3 linked regions of the Drosophila melanogaster genome follow. The protein of the gene in region 2 interacts with the protein of the main gene of each other region in a pairwise test. Each region holds a gene or a part of one and is shown on either strand. Other genes may lie near its edges.

Region 1 (7,503 bases), about 20 Mb from region 2:
ACAGACTCTTATCCAAACCTATTAATGCAAGATTTATGCGACTAGAGACAATACTATCCCTTCGGAAATATTAATTTATTTAAATAAACTCGCAATGCACTATCCAGCTTTGTGAAAACGAGAAAATGTTAAACTGCACTTAATAAAACTCGGCAATAAGGACAGGAAGAGATCGCCTAACTTGGGAATCACCAAGTTTCCGGTTTCCGGGCAACCCATGTTCCTTACAAGGTGGAAAACACAAGAGCATTGGCCTCTGATTAATGATTCCCTTGCACGTGTGCGCTTTGCTTGATGCGGGATCCATCAGATGAATGAGATTCTGAGAAAGGACAGGTGGGGAAAGAAAAGAGCATTCTCCGTCTGGGGAAACCGGTTTCGTCGAGAACACTAAAGTAATTAATTGAATACAAAGTTGTCGAAAGAGCACACTGCCGACAATATAAATACACCATCACCAAAACTGGTTACATAAAACAAATTTTCGTTTCGCATTATATTTTTTTTGGGTATGGCATGTTTTGCTTTGCTAGTCTTTTAACTTTTCTTTGGCAGACAATTCGAAACCGAGGACAGGTGTTTGCCGTTGAGCTCTGGCCCCAAAAAACAAAAAAAACAAAAAAAGCTGCCCCAGCAGAGCCAACACCACCCCCGGTCACCTAGCACCTGGCACCTGCCACAGTACCCCATCCTCAACCATGTTTTTTACCCATCAATACCCAACCCATTCTCACATATCACGAGACCCACACCGCTCCTCAGTCCCCAAAAGCAATCGACGCGCTACTGTAAATAGAAATGGCGAAAAAATAAGTACACTCTGATACAAATTCAAACGAATATGAGACCCCAATTGTGTTATTGAACTGTGTGCAACAGTTCTTGAGAATGTTCTCACTATATTTAGTACCAAAAGTATAACTAATTGAATGCTAGAACGCTCAAAATCGATTGTGCAAACGATGTTTTCAAATAGATTGCGCCGAGTCTGGTAAAGGAATGGCTTACCAATTTTTTTCTAGTGCAGAGATGTGGGCAAAGTCGATGTCTGACTAATGCCACATGTGATGTGATGTCTACGGTCCCAGGGAGCTGTGCGGACATTCTCTGTGACGTCCATTTAGCCACCCATATATGCAAATTGCATCGAGCGGGGCGAAAAAATGATAAATAAGTAACAGTCTTGGCGACGCATGCACTTTGAGTAATCGATAAGCAATCAAACGATCGCCGACGCTATTAAATAGAAGCACGCTAGCGAGAATGGGGTAAATGCGAGGGGTTTTCCAACGATTCCGATTGGCGCTCATTCGGGGGCCTGACTATATAACGACCTATATATACTATGCAGTCCTACACAGTTCACACAATCCATACGTCTCGCTGAGTAAATACGCACGAGTTAAGAGCAAATAGCGGACCGGGCAAGGTCGCCATCGCAGCGGCAATTTGCATGCCAAAGTTTCCCTTTTTCCTGCCGTCAATCAGGCACTCATTCAATCTTCTGTGCGACTGCAGCACCTGCCAGAAAGTGGCAACAAATGCAACAAGCAATTAGCCAGGAATTCATCAACACGAGGGGAGCAAACGAAAACTCGCTGCGGGTCGGGTGAATTGAAAAGCGGAAGCAGGGCGGAAAATCGGAAGGAAAGCAGCCAGCCACCTGACACGGGCTTCGGTTGCCCGGAAAATCGGAATCAAGCGAATGGAAGCTTGGCAGGATCGAAAAAATTCATGAATAAGACAAAAAAATTCATGAATAGAAAAAAGGAAGCAAACAAAAAAATTAAATATTCTTCTACGTTCAGTTTCAGACAACTTTAACATTATACATACATGGAATTCAATAGCCCTAGCTGTTCATAACTTTTGTTTACTCTTCAAGTGTCCAAGAATCCATGTACATGAATATATTTAAATAAAGCATTTTAAAGGAAGTATTTATAAAATAAATGAATGAATTATAATAAGTTGAAAGCAGCAGAAGAGGACAGAAGAGGCGAAGAGTCAGCACACACTTCGAGAGTTGAAACAAATGGTTTCGAAATCGGTCACTATCTAAAACGATACTTACTTAATTGTAATATTAAGAAAGCATTAAGCAGGGGTTATGTACTAACAGAGCCCCAGATTTCTCAGCAAACAGAACCAGAAACAGAGAGCTAGAGAGAGAGAGAGAGATCTCAGCTAGTCGATGGATTGGACCAATTCAAGGGTCAAAGGTCGCAGGACTCGGCAGAGGAGGAGTGGGGGACACCGATTAACTCACCGTCATGTTGTGCTCGACCAGCTTCTCGCTGGAACATATCATGTAGACGAGATAGGCGCGTATTAGCTCTCCAGTGGTCTTGCTCTTGAAAGCAGCAATCGGATCATTAAAGCTCACGTCCAGGGGATCCCTCTGCGGCGAGCCAGCGGGCGAGGGGTTCTTTTCCTGGGACGACTCCTGCTTCATCGATCGCTTCACCGTCTCGCTGGAGACCACCTCCGGTTGGACCAGAGTGGAGGCCTGCAGCGGCCGGTCGCCGCTGTGCAGGAAGCGCGCTCCATTGACTCCTCTCGTGGACTCCGATGCTGCTCCTTCTCCGGCGATGCTGGTGCTCCCGCTGCCGCGCTGATGGAAACTCCGGCAGGCGGCGACGGCCACGGAATTGCTCGACTTGCTGCTATTACGGCCGTAGACCAAACTGATGGCTGTTCGTTGGGCGCTCAGCGAACGGAGTAGAGCCATTACAAGGGATTCTGCGGTTTATTTACGCTTTCTGCTCTTCGGCTTTTGAGACGGTTATTGAAACGCACTCCAATCTCGGTTGTTGCTGCAAAAAGAAAACAATGGAAAGCAGAGGTAATTTCACTATTATCTCTACAAATCACTACGAATCTGAGGGAAGACAGTGGCGTAACGAAGAGATTACTAAAGGTGGTTATCTCGTTTTCAACTCGATTACAATAACGTTTTAAAAAGTGGAAATGTGGTACATATATAACAAAATTATTACGACTGTTTCAAAATATGCATTGATTTTCAATAAGATCATATAGAATTGATTTAATTGTAATTGGATGATATCTAATTAATATAAAAATAATAAACAAATGTATAATAAAATTCAATTTATAAAAATATTAAAATCAGTGTACATATTATTATTGCAACTTTTTGCCTAATTGTGTTTTTTGCCCCCCCACAAACCCCACGCCAACGCCAATGATCACAGCTGATTTTGTCGGAGAGCTTTTCGCTCTCCCTCTTTCGCTCGCTCCGAATGTTATACAACAAATGCGAAAAACGTGAGGCGGCGAGGGAGAGCGAAGCCGAAAAAAACAGCACAACACAATCACACGTACGCAAGTACACCTTCGAAATGTTCAATTAAAAAAGTCAATTTCTGGGCAGAAATCTATCTTTCGCTATTATGTGTCTTTTGGGTTTTCTTCTTACTTCGTTCTTATTATTTATTCTATTACGCTTTGAGCGTTGTATACGCCGCAAAAGCACGAAACCAAATGCGACGAAGACGCGTGAAAATGGGGCGAGTTGTTAAGCGACGGCAAATTCAACGAAGCGAAACGAGGAAGGACCCGAGGGCGAGAAAATCCTTTTCGCCGCTTCGCTCCCGTTTATGTAACTGTAAATGTAACCGAGATTGTACCGTAATTGTAACTACGACTGTGTGACGTCACAGGCATGCCAGCCCCGTTTGCTTCTGATTTTGATTTTGATTTGGAATTTGTTTTGATTTAATTGAAATGCGCCGAAAGCACACACTAATTGGTGTTAATTGCGGCTCTCCTTGATTCTCCCCAATTTTCGTTCTCAGTTTTCCACCCATTAACCCCTTTTCCCTTTTTCATTTTATTTATTAATTAGCAGCCCGCTAAATAATCGCCAGACGGGAGGCTGCAATCAATCGAAAAAACTTGGCGGGTTTCATTGCACAGATTTCATTACACTTCATTATGGGCTATATCAAGTTCTGTCTCGCTCTGGCCGCCTTGGTTAAAGGGAAACAGGGAGCTGCCGTACTTAAATTGCGAATTCATCTGAATGGTTTTTTTTTTTTTGTTTTTTTTTCTTCATTTTTCTTATTTGTTGCTATGCGGCGAATTGTACCTATTATATAACACTGCTTACTGCTCTCTACCTCGCTTTGTAGAGATCCTTTTATGATACGAATACAACGCAGCCACTCACATGTACACTGCAAAATTTCGCTTGGGTTTGTGGGTTTCCTCTATTTGCTCGATATAAATTTTGCTTTAACGGTTGTTTTGTCACTTCAAAAAAAACAAACTACGATACATAACCAGCAACGACCCAAAAACAATAATAAGGGTAAACAATACAATTTTGTAGAATTTGTAGAATTGCCAAATATAGTTTTTCGGAAAAACTCGTGTTTGTTTGACAAACTTCTCACAGCAGCCTGCGAGAAAAGTAGAAAAGTTCCCGTTTCTGTCAGCGCATTTGCTCACCTCACAAAAGACACACAAGTACAAGTACAATTATAATTATTTTTCGGTTTTTTCGAGTCAATGTTGTTCTTTTCGAGGGTTTTTGGTTTTTGCTGCTGCAACAGAGAGCGTGAGCACGCGCAAGGGTCTGAATTCGCGAATAAACTGAAACACATGAAGCGAAATTAAGGCCAACACGGCGAAAGCTCGTCCAAAAAAGCTTGAGAGAAATTGTTGGACCAGTCGGTGAGGGGCAGAAAGGGGATGGGCCACCCCCAGCAGCTGTTTGGGCTGCACGTGAGCGAAAAAAAGAAACCCGATCGAAAATTAATCGCCATCTTGTCAACTCTTATTACCCAATAAAAATCGGCACGCTTATCTAGGCCCCTGGCGGTTGGCCGGGAATCTTCGGTGCTCTTATCTTATCAATGGACTCCCACACCAGCGTCCAACAAAAACGAACCATTCCTTCTATTCATCTCTCTCCCTGTCTCTTTCTTGACAACCGGCGTCTTGCAACACTGGCCTCGCAAACAGGCTTGCTTTACACCCAGATCACTGGAGAAATATATCGATACGAAATATACGCTCGCAAAATTTGAAATTTAGTTTCAGGTACGAAAATTATTCAAAATGTTTCTCTGTGTAAAGAACGCTTATCGTGGACTCAAGAAAGTATCAAACAGATTTATTTTAATTGCACTATTTACGCAAATATAAGGCCACCAAATGAATATAAGTTTTCTAAATCTTTCTAATCGGACCCTCCCAAGCCAAATATTTCCTTTTGCTGTGTGCCGAAAGAAGGGATTTTAGAAAAGTTTGAATTATTGTTAGTTACAAAATTGAGTATCCGAACTATTTGTTACTTTCAGCTCGCAATATAAATATAATATAAATATCGATAGTTATCGCCGTCTCACAAATCTACACACCAGCGATCTCTAAAAATGTCCTTTGGGTTTGTTTTAAGCGATTTTTTCGGTTACAAATTTCAAACATATTACTTCGTATAAAATCTTTTAAACTGATTAAAATTAAAAACAAAGCGATTCGGCTTGTGACACTAACAAAAAAAAACCTTTTACGTCTCAATTTACTTTACTTTAAAATTGTTTATAGAAAAAAGGTAAGAAAGTTAAGAAACATTTATGGCATCAAAGAAATCATGTTAACGTAAAAAAAAACTACAAGAACTATATGCACTCCATATTTTTTAATATACACAATGTATGCGTACATAGATACCAAATTGTTCCCGTATACTGATTACTTACTGGCGTTTCATAGATAAATATTGCAAAATTGGCTCTTCAAAATGAAAATTCCAAGTTTCCATTTTAAAATGAATATATTTTTGTTTGCAAATTGTTTGCGTTTCGACAAATATAGCAATAAGTTACGACTACATATTAGAAATAATAATAATTAACATTTAATGAGCGACCGCTGCTGTTGATTTTGCTGCTTAGCGAACGCGGCCCGAAAAAGGAGAAACTTAACAAGAAAAAAACAGAACAAGTTATTTAAATACCAAATATATACATAGATATATGCGTGTGAAACTGACTCGGGTCTCCTCCTACCGCCGTCATAACAAACAATACATAATTCGCTATCGCCGCGACTCTCTTCTCGCATTCTCTTCGGCTGGCTTGATTTTCTGTTATTACATAATATTATTGACTAAATTGTAGATCAACGAATGTCTGTTTTTCCATCTCCATTGGGCACCACCAGCAAATAGCTTTAAGCATCGTAAGTATCGAAAATGGGTGCTTAACTTGACCGCAAGACTATCATAAGGGCGACAAATTCAGTTTAAGGTTTTCGATTGATGCGACAATGTTAAAACAATTGAATATTAATGCACAGTTGTGCGGATATGAACTGAATATTTTGGATATGTGTGCAACATAGCCCGAAAAACATGTAAAACCTATCTATATATGTATGTAAATAAAATATAAAGTATTATTCCTCAGCTCTGACGTAATGAATGATGATATGAATAACTGCTAAGGACATGCTCTTTTGCTTTCCTAAAAACTATATAATAAGGTAAACAGGGAATAGTTTAAATATCTAAACATAATTTCAAATTATTGCAACAGGATATACATATGTGAATATGTCTTCCCCAAGTATGACAATCTTGCAGTTCGCTATTTTGATTTGGGCTAACTATTTGGTGGTAATGCTGGACAGCCAGTGGTGCTGCTGATGTTATTGGTGTTGCAGGCGCTAGTTGGACTTGGTCAGCTCAGTGCGGTTGGCGGCCACTTCGGCCAGAATGAGTAGATCTGAGGTAGAGGAGGTCACGTCGAAGGCCGCCTGCGAGGAGAGCGAGGAGGATGACGACGAGGAGTTCGAAGAGAGCGGTGGCGAGGCCGACGACGAGGTTACAGGGGCATTCACCGCCTTGGGAGCACCGCTCTGGTTAAAGTAGTAGCTGCCATTGATGGTCAGGGGCAGAATTGAGGCCACCTCCTGTTCAATGGCACTAACATCGCGCCGGGTGATACTTTCCTTGCGCGCCTTTCGTCGCTGGCTTCCCACAGCCTGCAGTTGCTGCTGCTTGATCCTCACGTGTTGCTCGCTAGATAATGGGACAGCACCTTTCGCCGCAGCATCTGCTGCTGCCACATTCGAAGTTGCTGATGCACCACTTGTGCTGTTCGAATTCCTCTGTTTCTTGGTGCCGCTAAACTTCTTCTTCTTTTTGGTGCTACGTTTGCGCTGCAGGTAAGCGTCCAAGCTGAGGGCTGGCAGCTCTTTGATTTTCTCCTCGAGATCAAAGAAACCACTGCTGCTTGACTCGGAAACGCTTCTTATATGTTTTTGCATGGAATCCGGACTGCTACCCTGACGTTCCGGTGGCGAAACGGGCGGTGTATTGGGTCCCGCATCCAAGGGGATGTCCACAAAGTTTCCACCCATGTTACCTGCCGGCGGCAAGCGAGCTTTGCTCTTCTTAGCTATGGCCGCCAATTGACCGGAATTGACCAATTCCTGGTAAATCTTGCCCTTGCAGGAGCGTGATGACTT
Region 2 (7,257 bases):
GAGCGCTGCGATCATGTTGTGTCCCAAGATGCTCAAAATCTGTTCAAAATTAAATCCTCTTTGGAGTTCCGCGGAATGTCGATCCTCGTCAAAAATGCTCCGTTACCGAACGGCTTGGCCAATTGGACGCGACTGCGAGGCCTGCACTGGACAATGTGTGGGGAAGTGGGTCTTGTGTCCCGCTTATCGCCACTCGATAAGCCGCCACCGTCTAAACCCACTTTTCGGCCCCACCTCCTCGGACTGGGCTTATCGGGTCGGAATCGACGGGCTTTGCGGCGATGCATGACTAGCTCGCTAAATCTGGATCTGTCTGCGCTCGCGATTTCTGATTGATACATTAGCTGGACTCGTCATCGTCATCGTCGCCAGGAGCGGCCGATAGCCAGCTCCAGATAGCCGTGGTGCAGGCTATCTTCTGGTGCAAAGTCTGCTTGCGTAGAAGTTCCACAACGATTGGCCAAGATAAAAAATTGCATAGACCGAGTGCTTCAGCAAATGTGTTCGTGGGTACTTGGATGTGACCCGACTGGATGTAGTGGGGCTCTGGAGCTGACAATCTCGCCAAAAGAGAGATTTTCCAAGTCGATGGATGTGAAAACTAGCTGGAGTGCTGAAACCTAGCCGTTAGAATTCGATTCAAGTGCTTCAAGTGCCAGACTCCCATTGCCAACACTAGAAAATGTCCTTAAGGGACGCGAAGAGCACTTGCCAACACTCGGAAATCGCGCCTGCGCCGGAAAACAACAAGCGCCTAATCAATAAAAACATAAAATTTAGTGCGCAAGGAGCATCAGCATCAGCAGCAGGAACAGGAACAGGACAAAAACAATATTCCCCAAGGACTCCAACAGAACGCACAGCACCTTCCGTTGAGGCCGAGAAAGCCACATTCGATTGGCAGGAGCTTCGAGGACAGAGGATACGCAGCTACCAGGTCTGCAGCCCGCAAGAGTGAACATTGAGGATTTGCTGTCGCAAAGGTAACAACTGGGAAAAGTGTTGGAGGAGGGGGGGGGGGGGGGTCGCGGAAGTGGAGGCAGTTGTGACTCGAATAACCAAACTCTTTTGGACCAGGGCCCATCTGAGGCTCTGAGCAGCCAGGTGAACCAGTCAGGTCCAGGGAAGAAAGCTCCAGAGGATCGAGGCAGCCGCGGAAGCATCCCAAGCGCATACGAAGAACAGGACAAGATGTACAAGACCATCAGGCACGGGGAGAACAGCTTGCAGTACACGATTCTGCCCCAGAACGACGACTTCCGCATCGAGGGCAAGCTCTCGGGCTCGGGACGATCGGGCTCCGCCGGCGGGGGAGCCTCCTCCACCGCCTCCGTCAAGGCCAAGGGCCAGCGACGCCGGCGATCCTTCTTCGCCTACTTGGGCTTGATCTTCGTGTGCACCGTGATCATTGGCGCCGTGCTCATACCCTTCCTTGTGTCCGCCGAATGTCTGCCGAACCCCGCAGAATGGTTCTTGAAGACCAAGGCGGCCCTGATCCACAGTCCGCAGCCAGGCGGTGGAGATTCGGCTGGCACTTCCTCCATACTGCCCACAGGATCGCCCTTTCTGCAGCAGAACGTGGGCCGGAATGTGAAAATTGTGAACCGGAATGGCATTGAGCAGTTCGTAATTCGGGTGAACAAAACCAATCCGAGTGCTAGCACCACCAGGAGCACCACCACTGGCCCCAACATCGTGGCCACCAGTTCCAGCAGCAGCAGCAGCACCTCCACCACAACGACGACGACAACCGCTCCAGCCCCCACAAGCACAAGCACCACCACTACGACAACCAGGGAGCCGCCGGTGACCACTCCGAGGTACCCGGCCCCGCCGCCGCCTCCGCCGGCGACCACGATCACCACCCGCATCATCCAGGTGCCCCTACTCAAGTCCGCCGCCAAGAAGCCCATAATGCCGCCAGTGCTGGCCAAAGTCCAGGGGCCGCAGATCCAGGCCGGAGGAGGCCAAAACTCCAGGCTGCAGGTACAGGCGGGCACGGAGCACGAGTCGCAATCGAAATTGGAATCGGAATCGCAATCGGAGGGCGGAGGGCAAAAGAGCAACGGTGCCTGGATAAAGACGCACTGGGCCTACATCGATCCATCGACGTACTTCCAATGGAGCGTAAGTCGCACGCCACAACTTAGCTGCCCTGTTGGCCGCCACTAACTCCCATTACTCCCATTGCAGGGCTACAAGGACGAGGATAGCGTGCTGCTGCCCGCTCTGCTGGGCTTCGCCCTCATCGGAGTGATTTTGATCATCACGGTCTGCCTGGTGGCACGCAACAAGCGCACCATTGTGTCCTCCGTCCGCAAGCGGAATCGCAATGTGAGTATACTGTGCATTTGGCTTGACCAACGAACCGGAAGTGGGAGGTTGGGTGTTCGCTTGGTGAGCGGCGCGTGAGCGGGTGCGTGGGTGGTAGCGCGTCCTTGAGCCCGTTCTCCTGCCGTTGTAGTTGTTTTTGTTGTTGTTGTTCGGCATCGCGATTGAATCACGAATCCTAGCATTAAGTCTGCATGGCTAGGTGTTCCAAGGTGTTCCACCTGCACTGCATCGAGCTCCAAACATAATCGACTAATTCGAGCTGCGCGCTGTTCGTGTAGCACAGTGAAAGAGGTGGTGCGGTCTTTTGTTTACCTTTAAGCTGTTAAGTGAAGTGTGAAAATAGTGCAAATCTTGAATAATTGTGTATAAAGAACCAAAACTTTGAATAAAAATATATTTGGCGCCAAATCGAACTGCAGCCCTGGTCGTGAGCGATGGCAGTGCGGAAAATCATCGCACGAAGATCGCCATGGCAACAAGGACCAAAAAATACCAAAACCACCACAGCAGAGACGGCGTCGGCGCGGGTGCGAGCAAGACGGCAGTCGCGCAGAGAGAGTGCGTGGCACTTTAGCCAGGGCTGGGCAAACCACAAATTGGAACCAGCGAAAAATACCTTCGAAATTTGCAAGCTGAGTGTGACAAGAATAAATAGTTCGGCCAACAAATCGGCTTCACAGTGAAAAGTGCAAGCAAACAAAAAGTGAGAAGTGCGCGATGTGCCATCCCTGGTGTAAACACGCACACACACACACACACACGCGCAGGCGGCACACAGGTGAGCACCAGTAGCGCAGTCGACAGCAGCAGCGGCGCAGGCAGCGGCAGAGGCAGAGCGCCCAGAGCAGATACTTCAGTTTGCGTCGATTGTGCCGATTGAGATTCAGATTCAGTTCCAGATCACAACCCGAATCGGAGCCGCCAGTGTGTGCCAGACGCAACGCAACGGAACGGAACGCAAGGCAACGTCTACGTCAGCAAAATCACGCTGCAAGTCACCAGTTGGCCGGAAGATTGGCGAAAATCCTGTGAGTAAAAATGGCAAGCGTGCAACAACAGTTTTGCCAGCGTGTCGCTTGGAGTCTCCCAGTGTGCGTGCGTGTGTGTGAGTGAGTGGGAGCGCGCAGCCGTGTGCGTGCGTGTGTGTGCGAGCGTCGGTGAGCAGTGCCAACAAGGCAAAATGTGTGTTTGCTGTTGGGGAGCATCTTGACCAAAGTAGTCACTCCTCGGAGCGCCAGGAGGCGCTCAAAGGGTATTCGCCCGAGCACGACACCATTCGGCAGCTGTGTGCACAGGTTCCCATTCATGGAAAGTGGGCAGAGGCGCGGAATATGCCAGGCGAGCGCGCAGGTATCAGTTGTGCCGGACCGCACTTGTGGGCACTTGTGGCTGGCAGATTGGAGCCGGGATGCGGAGTAGCACCATTGGAGCGCACTGCTACTCAGTTGGTGTTCGTTGCTAAAAGCCACTCCGGGCAGCATCGACGGCATCATTCAACCGATGCAACAGACGGCCAAGCTGAAAGGGCGACGTGTCACATATGCGAGGCTACTACAGATGCTCCCCCGCAACAACAAGGGCAGGAAGTCACGCAGGGAAAGGCGAACAGCCAGCAGATCTTGAATAACCAACTCATAAACCATTTCAGAAACCCCTGAACCAGAGCAATGGCCATTAAACCGGGACTCGGTCGCAAGACCAGCAACAAGAACCCGCCTATCCTGAGCCACGAGTTTGTGATCCAGAACCACGCGGACATCATCTCCTGCGTAGCCATGGTCTTCGTGGTCGGCCTGATGAACGAGTCGACGGCGGCGTTCGCCAGCGCGTTCATATCCCTGCACCACAACGTCAGCGGTGAGGACCCCAGCCGGGAGCAGCCATATGGCAAGCCATACACCTACATCGCCGGCATCAAGGATTACTGCGCGATATTCTTCTACACGCTGACCTGCATAATCATGCACGCGATCATCCAGGAGTTCGTGCTGGACAAGATCAGCAAAAAACTACACCTGTCCAAGTTCAAGCTGGCCCGCTTCAACGAGTCCGGCCAACTGGTGGCCTTCTACCTGCTCTCCTTCGTCTGGGGCGCCCACGTGCTGCTGAAGGAGGGCTACCTCGGACAGGTGGCCCAGCTGTGGGAGGGCTTCCCCGACCATCCCATGAGCTTTCTGCACAAGTTCTACTTTGTGGTGCAGCTGGCCTACTACCTACACATGCTGCCGGAGCTCTACTTCCAGAAGATCAAGACCAAGGAGGAGCAGCAGCCCAAGATCGTGCACTCGATCAGCGGCTTCACCCTGATCGTCCTGGCCTACACGCTTAGCTTCCAGCGCCTGGCCCTCGTGCTGCTCACGCTGCACTACTTCAGCGAGCTGCTGTCGCACGTCTTCCAGCTGATCGGCGTGTTCGACCGCGAGGAGCGACTGGCCAAGCTGCGGGTGGTGAACAATGCCGTCTTTTTCCTGATCCGCTTCGCTACGTCCGTGATCGGTGTGCTCACGCTGTACTACGGCATCGGGGGTGTGCGATCCCTGCTGGCCTTGGGCGGCCTGATCGCCCTGCAGGGCTACCTGGTCTTCTCCTTCATCACGGAGCAGCTGCGCGCCAAGCGCGAGGCCAAGAAGGAGGCCAAGCGGGAGGCCAAGCTGGCGCTGCAGACCAAAAAGCCAGCCAAGACGCCCAAGGACAAGGTGAAGCGCAAGAAGGAGAGCGACCTGCCTGAGGCGGACCAGACCTCGCCCAGTCCCATCAAGCAGAAGCTCAAGTGAGAGCCGTCCCGGCCGAGCAGAGCAACAAAATCTTCCGCACACTTCCAATTCAAAACGAATGAGAGATAGAGAGAGCAGCACCATGGACAGGAGCCCAGGTTGGATTGGTGGACACTTGCCACTGACCACTGAACACTGGCTACTTGGCTCCCTGTTTGATGTAATCTCGTTAGCTCAAAACTACCACTGCAACATTTCTGCTGCATTTACTTCCTCGACACACAAAAGAACGAACTATTTCTTAGCCTAAATGTTTTGTTTCATTTAAGTTTACGTCATTTTTAAAACAAATTTTTTTTATTTTTATACATACAAAAAAAAAAAATGAAAAAAGAAACAAATACAACAAAAGAGAAAAGCAAAGCCCACACTGCGTGTTTTCAATTGCTCCTCCTCCTTCTCCTGCAACTTCCCATTGTCCTGGTGATTACCCCAAGGTGATCCATATGGTGATCCGAAGCCTGAATAACTTTTCTCTCTTGCAGGACATCGAGGAACAGGGCGCCGAGGACAACGCCACCCTGCTGACCACCACCAACCTGTCGGACGACGACTAATTGGAGCTCGTTCAGATGATTCCCTGTTCGCCCTCGGTTCCAGCTTTTGATTTCCGGCCTGCTTGAGCGATCCAAAGTCGCTGGCTGGGCCATCGCCCACTTCGCCCATCCGTTTGAGACACACACGATTACCCAGACACCTGGACCTGCTGAGATGGCTCCACGCCAGCTGATCCAGTATGCTAATCCCGATCCCGATCCCCAAATTTCCCCTCCGCTTCTGGCCATGAGGCAGGCGGAAGGCGGAGCAAAGAGTAATCCAAGCACGAAGAAGACTGTTTCTGAAACTACTGTTTAGCTATCCCCAAATTTTTCCAATGCTTGTCTTCACCCCGCACTGTCCCCCCCCTCTTACCAATCACCCATCCTTACAAAACTGTGTGCGTGTGTGTGCTGATAGTGTGTGTGTATGTGTGTGTGTGTGATCCCCAAGATACCCGTTACTTATAAATATGCATAAATGCAAGAGCTAGCTTGATAACTTGACGTGCGAGGGATGTGGTGGTGTCCACGCTGGCCACTGAGCCCCTCCGTGCACCACCAATAGCTGGGCTCTCGGCACGAAGATGTGACAATGTTCGATCTCATCCGAAGTACTTTCCAAACTAACCGAGCTTTTTAAACACAATCCACCTTTTGTGTCTGCTGTTCCTGCTGCTCTGAAACCAATTGGTGGACGCATCGCGGAAAAGGGAGCACCGAGGCACAAAAGCACCGAGGCACAGCCCTCGGAAAACGCACTCAAATCAAATGAAACGTCCAGAGATATGAATATTTTTTTGCAAGCGACTACACCTAATTTGCAGCACAGGCAGGCGGGGATGGGGATGGGGATGCAAGTCCGTCTTGGCCCAAAACGCTTGGCGATTCGATTCGATTCGATTCAGATGGGACAGTTGGGCAGTGAGCAGTAGGGCGGTGAGAAACCGTAGCGGGGGACTACTGTTCGTCTATATAAACTGTGTATAACTGTGAGGCATTGACAAGTATTTGAGATGATCTGTATTTTTGTAAGCGTAATATTTAAAGCGGCAGCCAATAACGAGACAACCAAATCCAGAGAAGCAACTATAAAGCGTAAGATATCGGGCGCAGCAGCCAACACACGCGACACACAATTTATTTGCTCAACGCAGTACACACCACACATGATACATACAGCATAAATGTAAATATATATATATTTATCTGCATACATATATATATATACAGAGTAAGTTACGCAAAGTATGAGGCTTGCATTTACATTTACGAGCGGGATATATCCTCCATATGTATATGTTATCACTAATTTGCAAAGCTAAACTAAGTCCATATATACAAACCAAATATCGGAGGTGCAAGTGACGAACACACACTATATTGAATGTTTTTGCTTGTTAAAGTAAATAATAAAAATGAAAACTCGAAATCACGAAATCCATAGCCATCGAGGATCACAATCCGCCCATTTACGGCTGAGCCTGTTCCTGTTCCTGCTGCAGTTTGTCCCGCTTGCTCTGCTGGGCAGTCAGGTGGTTCTGCACGAAGCTGTGGAAGTTTTGTTCTTCGGCGGTGCCCTTCGCGTCCTCCTCCATCTCCTCCTCGTCTTC
Region 3 (6,037 bases), on a different chromosome or scaffold from region 2:
CAGCGAGAGCCAGCCCTCGGTGCTGGAGATCCTGCAGCGACAGATCAGGCGGTTCCGGCGGACGGTCATATACACCATATACGACGTGAAGGTCTGCTCCAGCATCATACAAGACATAGCCGCCAAGTTGTCCCCGTACTTCAGCTCAACCCCGAACTCGTACTACAGCGACTCCCTCTTTTTCCTGTCCCTCGGCCTTCACAGGATCGCCGACAGGAGCCTAAACAGAGCCATTCTGCTAGATTGTGATATAGTCTTCCGATCCGATGTCCGACTGCTGTTCAATGAGTTCGACAACTTTCTGCCGCACCAGCTGTACGGACTGGCACCGGAACTGACCCCCGTCTACCGCCACATCCTCTACCGCTATCGCGTGCGCTATCCGAAGACCAGTTTCGGGAATCCCTACTATCCGATCAACAACGAAGGGGGCAACCAACATAGCCGTGTCCACCACGGCTATCCAGGCCTGAACTCCGGCGTGGTCCTGCTGCTCCTAAACCGCATCCGTAACTCAAAGTCCTACCTGGAGAAGCTGACCCACTCGGAGGTGCACACCCTGGTCGCCAAGTACTCCTTCAAGGGCCACCTCGGCGACCAGGACTTCTTCACCCTGCTGGGATACGAGTACCCGAACTTAATCTACAGACTGGACTGCATTTGGAACCGCCAGCTGTGCACCTGGTGGAAGGATCACGGATACTCACAGATATTCGACGCTTATTTCCGGTGCGAGGGCAATATTAAAATGTACCATGGCAACTGTAATACGCGAATTCCAGAATAAATAAAATTGTTATAGGAATATTAAATTAATTAAATGCAGGGTATTTTTATTTGGTATAACTATTGTAATGGAACGTTATGTAATATACGGTGAATTTAATCTTAGTTTATAGACCATTATAAATGGTGATATATAAAAATGAAATTTAAAGATAAAAGACAGCCCACACCTATCACCATTTAAAATATCAAAACGATGTAAGAATGTTATCGATAGGCGAGAAGCAACAGAGTGGGAATATGCCGCACAGGGTGTTTCGTGTGAATGATTTCGCCTCTTGTTTCTTATCTTTAACCTTCATTTCTGGCTCCGTTTGGCTATGAATTAGGAGCAGTCCCGAATAATCAGTCGAGCATACGTAGTTAACGATGGCGCCGAATGCAGCAGTACCAGTGGAGCGATATGAGCCTGAGAACATCGGGATCAACGCCATTCTCCTGGGGCCGCCGGGTTCCGGCAAAGGAACGCAGGTGGGTCAAAATTACATAATGATGTGTTTTTTGTGACACGGACGCCATGTAGTCTATAAATAAATACAACGTGTTCAAGTGCGCGGTTTTTGTTTGCAAATAATCGGTGAAGCTCGTTAATTCTCTTGGAAGAGAATTAAAACTGGTGAAGTTATATAAGACGATGTGTACATGGAAATGTATATGTATGTATCTACGTGCCAAGTATGTACATATGCGTCAAGCAGTGTCTTTCTCTTGACCCTGAATCAAATCAAAGCCTTGGCGAGATGTGGCGAATTAAGTGGAACACCTTTAGGCAATCGATTGGGTATTATGCAGACCATCTATTAAAAGGCTACCAGAACATTCCTGGCCTCAAGAAATGCATCTTATCTAGCCGATTGGTTACCTTGCTTACCTTCCGATATGGTGCTAAATTGATTAATTGATTAGCTCTAACTGAAACTTATCAATGTTTTTAATTATGCCCATTTCAGGCTCCCCTGCTGAAGGAGAAGTTCTGCGTGTGCCACCTGTCGACCGGCGACATGCTGCGGGCGGAGATTTCATCCGGTTCGAAGCTGGGAGCCGAGTTGAAGAAGGTCATGGATGCCGGCAAACTGGTCTCCGACGACCTGGTCGTGGACATGATCGACTCCAACCTGGACAAGCCCGAGTGCAAGAATGGATTCCTCCTGGACGGATTCCCCAGGACTGTCGTTCAAGCTGAGAAGGTAGCCACACGTGTGAAGCACTTTGGACTTTAGGTTATAATCCGTTCGAAACGCACTTTGCAGCTCGACACATTGCTGGACAAGAGGAAAACCAACTTGGATGCTGTCATCGAGTTTGCCATCGACGACAGTCTGTTGGTGAGGCGCATCACTGGCCGCTTGATCCACCAGGCCAGCGGGCGTTCGTATCACGAAGAGTTTGCCCCTCCAAAGAAGCCAATGACGGACGATGTAAGTATCTCTATAGGACGCTATCCAAGAACTCTAAATGAAAGCAGACCTTGTGTACTTGCAGGTCACTGGAGAGCCCCTAATCCGTCGCAGCGATGACAACGCCGAGGCTCTGAAGAAGCGACTGGAAGCATATCACAAGCAGACAAAGCCGCTGGTCGACTACTACGGCCTGAGGGGTCTGCACTTCAAGGTGGACGCCGCCAAGAAGTCCAGCGACGTCTTCTCCACCATCGACTCTATATTCCAACGCAAGCGTCCTGCCCAGATCCAGTTATGATTTGTTCCTGCGCAATGATCAACTACTGATAACTGCCTCCTGACAATTTATTTCGAGACACACACAACGTTTAAGCCTAAAGTTATAGTTGCATCCGGAAATCCTGAACAAACGAAATTACCTTTGCAGGTCGACTACTTTCCTTGTACAGATTTCTAAAGTGTATGTGTTTGTTACTTTTTACATTTCACTATTTGTAACTACAATACAATTTAATAAAAAAATCGAAGGAAACAAGTACATTTTACGAGACATGACTGCTTTAAACTGGGCTGCGTTCGAATGAGGGATGGACGACGCCAAGTTCAAACTTCCACACAATTGTTTTCCGGAAAGCTTCTGGAATATGATGCGGCTGACTCAGTTTCGAATCGAGGTTTTTAGCGTTTGATGGATAGCTACTAATTGTTCCGAGAACTATTTATTATTGCAATCAACTTTAAAGCGACTATTAAAGGGTCATGTTGCACGGGTCTCAAGTGTAACAAATGAGAAATTGCTAATGGAAATCGCTAATGAGATCGTTAAATCTGGTAAACAAATAACATATCGCCAAGTTAGCCCGTCCATCGTGGCTGCGAATCTCTCGCAGAGCGACTTTCGATCGCCGTTTAGTACTCAGACGTCACCTGCCTAATGTTAATGTCAATTTAAGTGTGTATAACTATCGCACATATATTATATAAATTTATAACGACGATTGACTAATCACTGGGTTGACTTTTCAGCAATAGCGATTTTCGCTTCAAAGTCTAAAGTGTGTGCAATCCCGTATGGATACGAGCCGAGCTCGAACACAGGCTCACAGCGCGCGGTTTGTGTTGTGTATTACACTTGAAGTTCAATCCCAGGTAAAAAGTGGGCCCAGGTATAAAAGCCCACTTCATAGAAACATTTCTCAGTTAGTTCCAGCAGCTGAATTGCTTCACATCTATTCGCTCCGAGTCGCCCCACAAGTCGAGCCCCATTGTAAGACCACCGCACCGTTTATAGTTTTTGGAGCCGATCGGCTCGGCTGGTCGACTGGTGGCTGGTAGTAGTCCACACACTCATGGACGCAGCCAGACGGGCAACCAGTTTCATTGTGTATAAACAGTGACATCTTTTCAGACAGCGAATGTGTTTCAGATACGCATACAAAGTGGCCTGCCTGGCTGTGCATTAATTTGCATACAAATCCCATAAGTCCACAGATACATTTTGCGAATGCAGTCGCGCTCGATGGCTAGTAAAAATATTTTTCCATTGCCCAGTAAAATCCCCTGCGCACAAAACTGGTTGCCCGACCAACAGACCCACTAAGCCACAAAAGTGCTGATTAATCGTACAAACATACTTACCCCAATTCGCCCGCAGAAAACTCCAAGATGAAGATGATACTTGCGCTTGTCGTCCTTGGACTGGTGCTGGTCGCCGCCGAGGATAAGTACACCACCAAGTACGACAACATCGACGTCGACGAGATCCTGAAGTCGGACCGCCTCTTCGGAAACTACTTCAAGTGCCTGGTGGACAACGGAAAGTGCACCCCGGAGGGCCGGGAGCTCAAGAAGTCCCTGCCGGACGCCCTGAAGACGGAGTGCAGCAAGTGCAGCGAGAAGCAGCGCCAGAACACCGACAAGGTCATTCGCTACATCATCGAAAACAAGCCCGAGGAGTGGAAGCAGCTGCAGGCCAAGTACGATCCCGATGAGATCTACATCAAGCGCTACCGCGCCACCGCCGAGGCCTCGGGAATCAAGGTGTAAGGCGGATCCCGGTTCCGGAAACTCTTGGTTATATGCACTGTTAATTAGGTCTACGCTTATATCTGATCATCAAAATTATTTCTACGATCGTGCTCGGAATAAAGAGATTTGTTTTTTTACCATACACCTGCCGAGTATTATATCGTTATCGAAGGGGGATTTGCCAGGCTTCAGAGAGTATATAAATTAACTATGACAAATGTAGCACTTAAGTCTAGCCTCCTGCTACTAGAACGATGATTAATCTAAGCACAATTAAGGTCTTAGAAAAAACATTCACAAGATTACGACTAGACCCTAATAAGCGGCTTATATATGGCGGGCGATTTGCATTAACATTGACAATAAAGGCAGCTACGGTTAGTTGGCAAAAACATCGCGTGCTTGTCTTGGTTCTGAGCTATTACTTATATTATTCTTAAAAGGGGCAATGAATCGAATCCGATGGCCGCAAGTAACTCAGCCGTGAAAACCTTCCTTCAAAGAACAAACAAACAATGTACAGCGAATTATTAATGTCACGGCAATTCACATTGCGAATCAAAAGATATTAAATATTAAATCAGTATTTTAATTACTTATAAATGTACAAAGCTTAGTATAAGGTTGTGGGCAGCGTTTACGTTAATGTTTCACCCTGGGCGACGCACGCCTCCAGATAGTCTATGCGCCGCTCCAGGATCGTTAGTTTTTCGTTCAGCACCGCCAGACGGGAGCGACAGGACATATCTGAAAGGATATGATAGCACACGATGATACAGTTTATAATGCCAACAGTGTACATAAACCCTATTAAGGATATGGGATATTTTAGCAACCCAACTACCTCGCACTCTTTGGCTTATCATTTATCACAGTATTTAGCGTATCTTAAATTATGCATAGAGCAACCGAAAAAGCTTATCCAATTCATTTAGGTGACTAATTCGGATAGAGATAAAGCCGAATTTTCGTTTTGAGCCCTCCGATGATGTTACATACATACATTTCCATATGTATGTAGATACATATATTGCTATACATATATGCCACCACGCACAAACCACTGTTTGTTTCTATAGACTTAAGACTTGAGTAAATAAAGTCATTGTCACTGATGAATATTTGTTAGTAATATTACTTATGCGTTCACCCACACCTACAAAGGAAGTGATAATAAACACGCGCACACACACATGCGTCAGAGGGAAGTGGGTGCTTCGTATGCAGGTTGCTTACCGAAAGAGTTCAGAAAGTCGGTGATTCTCTTTATGCTGGCAGTTATCACTTCGATATACTCCCTGTTCGCCCAGTCCTGGTGGATCTGCTTTTGGATCGCCTCTCTGTGAGCCCCACTCATCTTTATTTATTCCTATTGTTTCTGTTCGTTTTAATTGTGTTTATCTAGAGATGAGAGATGGGTTGGGCCGGAACAATTATTGTCAAAAATTTGGAACTATCGATAGGCATACAATTACCGTGTTCACCGTGATTCATTGAGATCAAATTTTTACTCCAACAAGAAATTTTAATGGTGTTTTACAACACTCCCTAAGCACTACTATTTAAAAATTACGCGGGAAAGTGCGATGAAAGAAATAACTTAATATTTTTGTCTGCCAACTATAGCGTGTAAATATGAATAATAAAATAAAGGTAAATAATAAAAGTATTGGGGTAGACACAGCCGAATATATAAAGAAACTTATCGCCGCAATATACAATTGTATATCGCAATATACATAGATATATTCGAATTTGCGTTTGCTATATTTTATATTAACCGTGGGTTAGTTTTCGATGTTTTATTGTTTTAAATGATATTT

Evidence for each region.
Region 1: the proteins of TRAM (region 2) and slgA interact in a two-hybrid assay, tested with the Drosophila melanogaster proteins (one large-scale study listed by BioGRID).
Region 3: the proteins of TRAM (region 2) and EbpIII interact in a two-hybrid assay, tested with the Drosophila melanogaster proteins (one large-scale study listed by BioGRID).

Annotation. Positions count from the first base shown.
Region 1 is NC_004354.4:21,371,433-21,378,935, reverse strand, and holds the start of slgA (sluggish A), read right to left. Parts: upstream 4,625-7,503; 5' UTR 4,196-4,624; exon of another isoform or gene 4,115-4,195; intron 3,515-4,114; exon of another isoform or gene 3,443-3,514; intron 2,827-3,442; exon of another isoform or gene 2,817-2,826; 5' UTR 2,732-2,816; coding exon 2,270-2,731; intron 1-2,269. Other genes in the region: bbx (bobby sox), read right to left, coding at 6,700-7,503. UniProt on the Drosophila melanogaster protein: Converts proline to delta-1-pyrroline-5-carboxylate. Involved in the conversion of proline to glutamate, which functions as a transmitter at neuromuscular junctions. Glutamate deficiency could possibly account for reduced motor activity.
Region 2 is NC_004354.4:932,348-939,604, forward strand, and holds TRAM (TRAM), read left to right. Parts: upstream 1-2,884; 5' UTR 2,885-3,491; intron 3,492-3,510; exon of another isoform or gene 3,511-3,913; intron 3,914-3,982; 5' UTR 3,983-4,001; coding exon 4,002-5,108; 3' UTR 5,109-5,475; downstream 5,476-7,257. Other genes in the region: CG3706 (uncharacterized protein), read right to left, coding at 1-15; CG32815 (uncharacterized protein), read left to right, coding at 1,192-2,127, 2,194-2,334, 5,594-5,665; CG3704 (uncharacterized protein), read right to left, coding at 7,117-7,257.
Region 3 is NT_033778.4:24,023,164-24,029,200, forward strand, and holds EbpIII (ejaculatory bulb protein III), read left to right. Parts: upstream 1-3,008; 5' UTR 3,009-3,138; intron 3,139-3,212; 5' UTR 3,213-3,335; intron 3,336-3,382; exon of another isoform or gene 3,383-3,453; intron 3,454-3,519; exon of another isoform or gene 3,520-3,840; 5' UTR 3,841-3,851; coding exon 3,852-4,232; 3' UTR 4,233-4,355; downstream 4,356-6,037. Other genes in the region: Xxylt (xyloside xylosyltransferase), read left to right, coding at 1-787; Ak2 (adenylate kinase 2), read left to right, coding at 1,156-1,257, 1,737-1,973, 2,037-2,204, 2,269-2,484; HSPC300 (haematopoietic stem/progenitor cell protein 300), read right to left, coding at 4,852-4,961, 5,451-5,571. UniProt on the Drosophila melanogaster protein: Protein component of the posterior mating plug.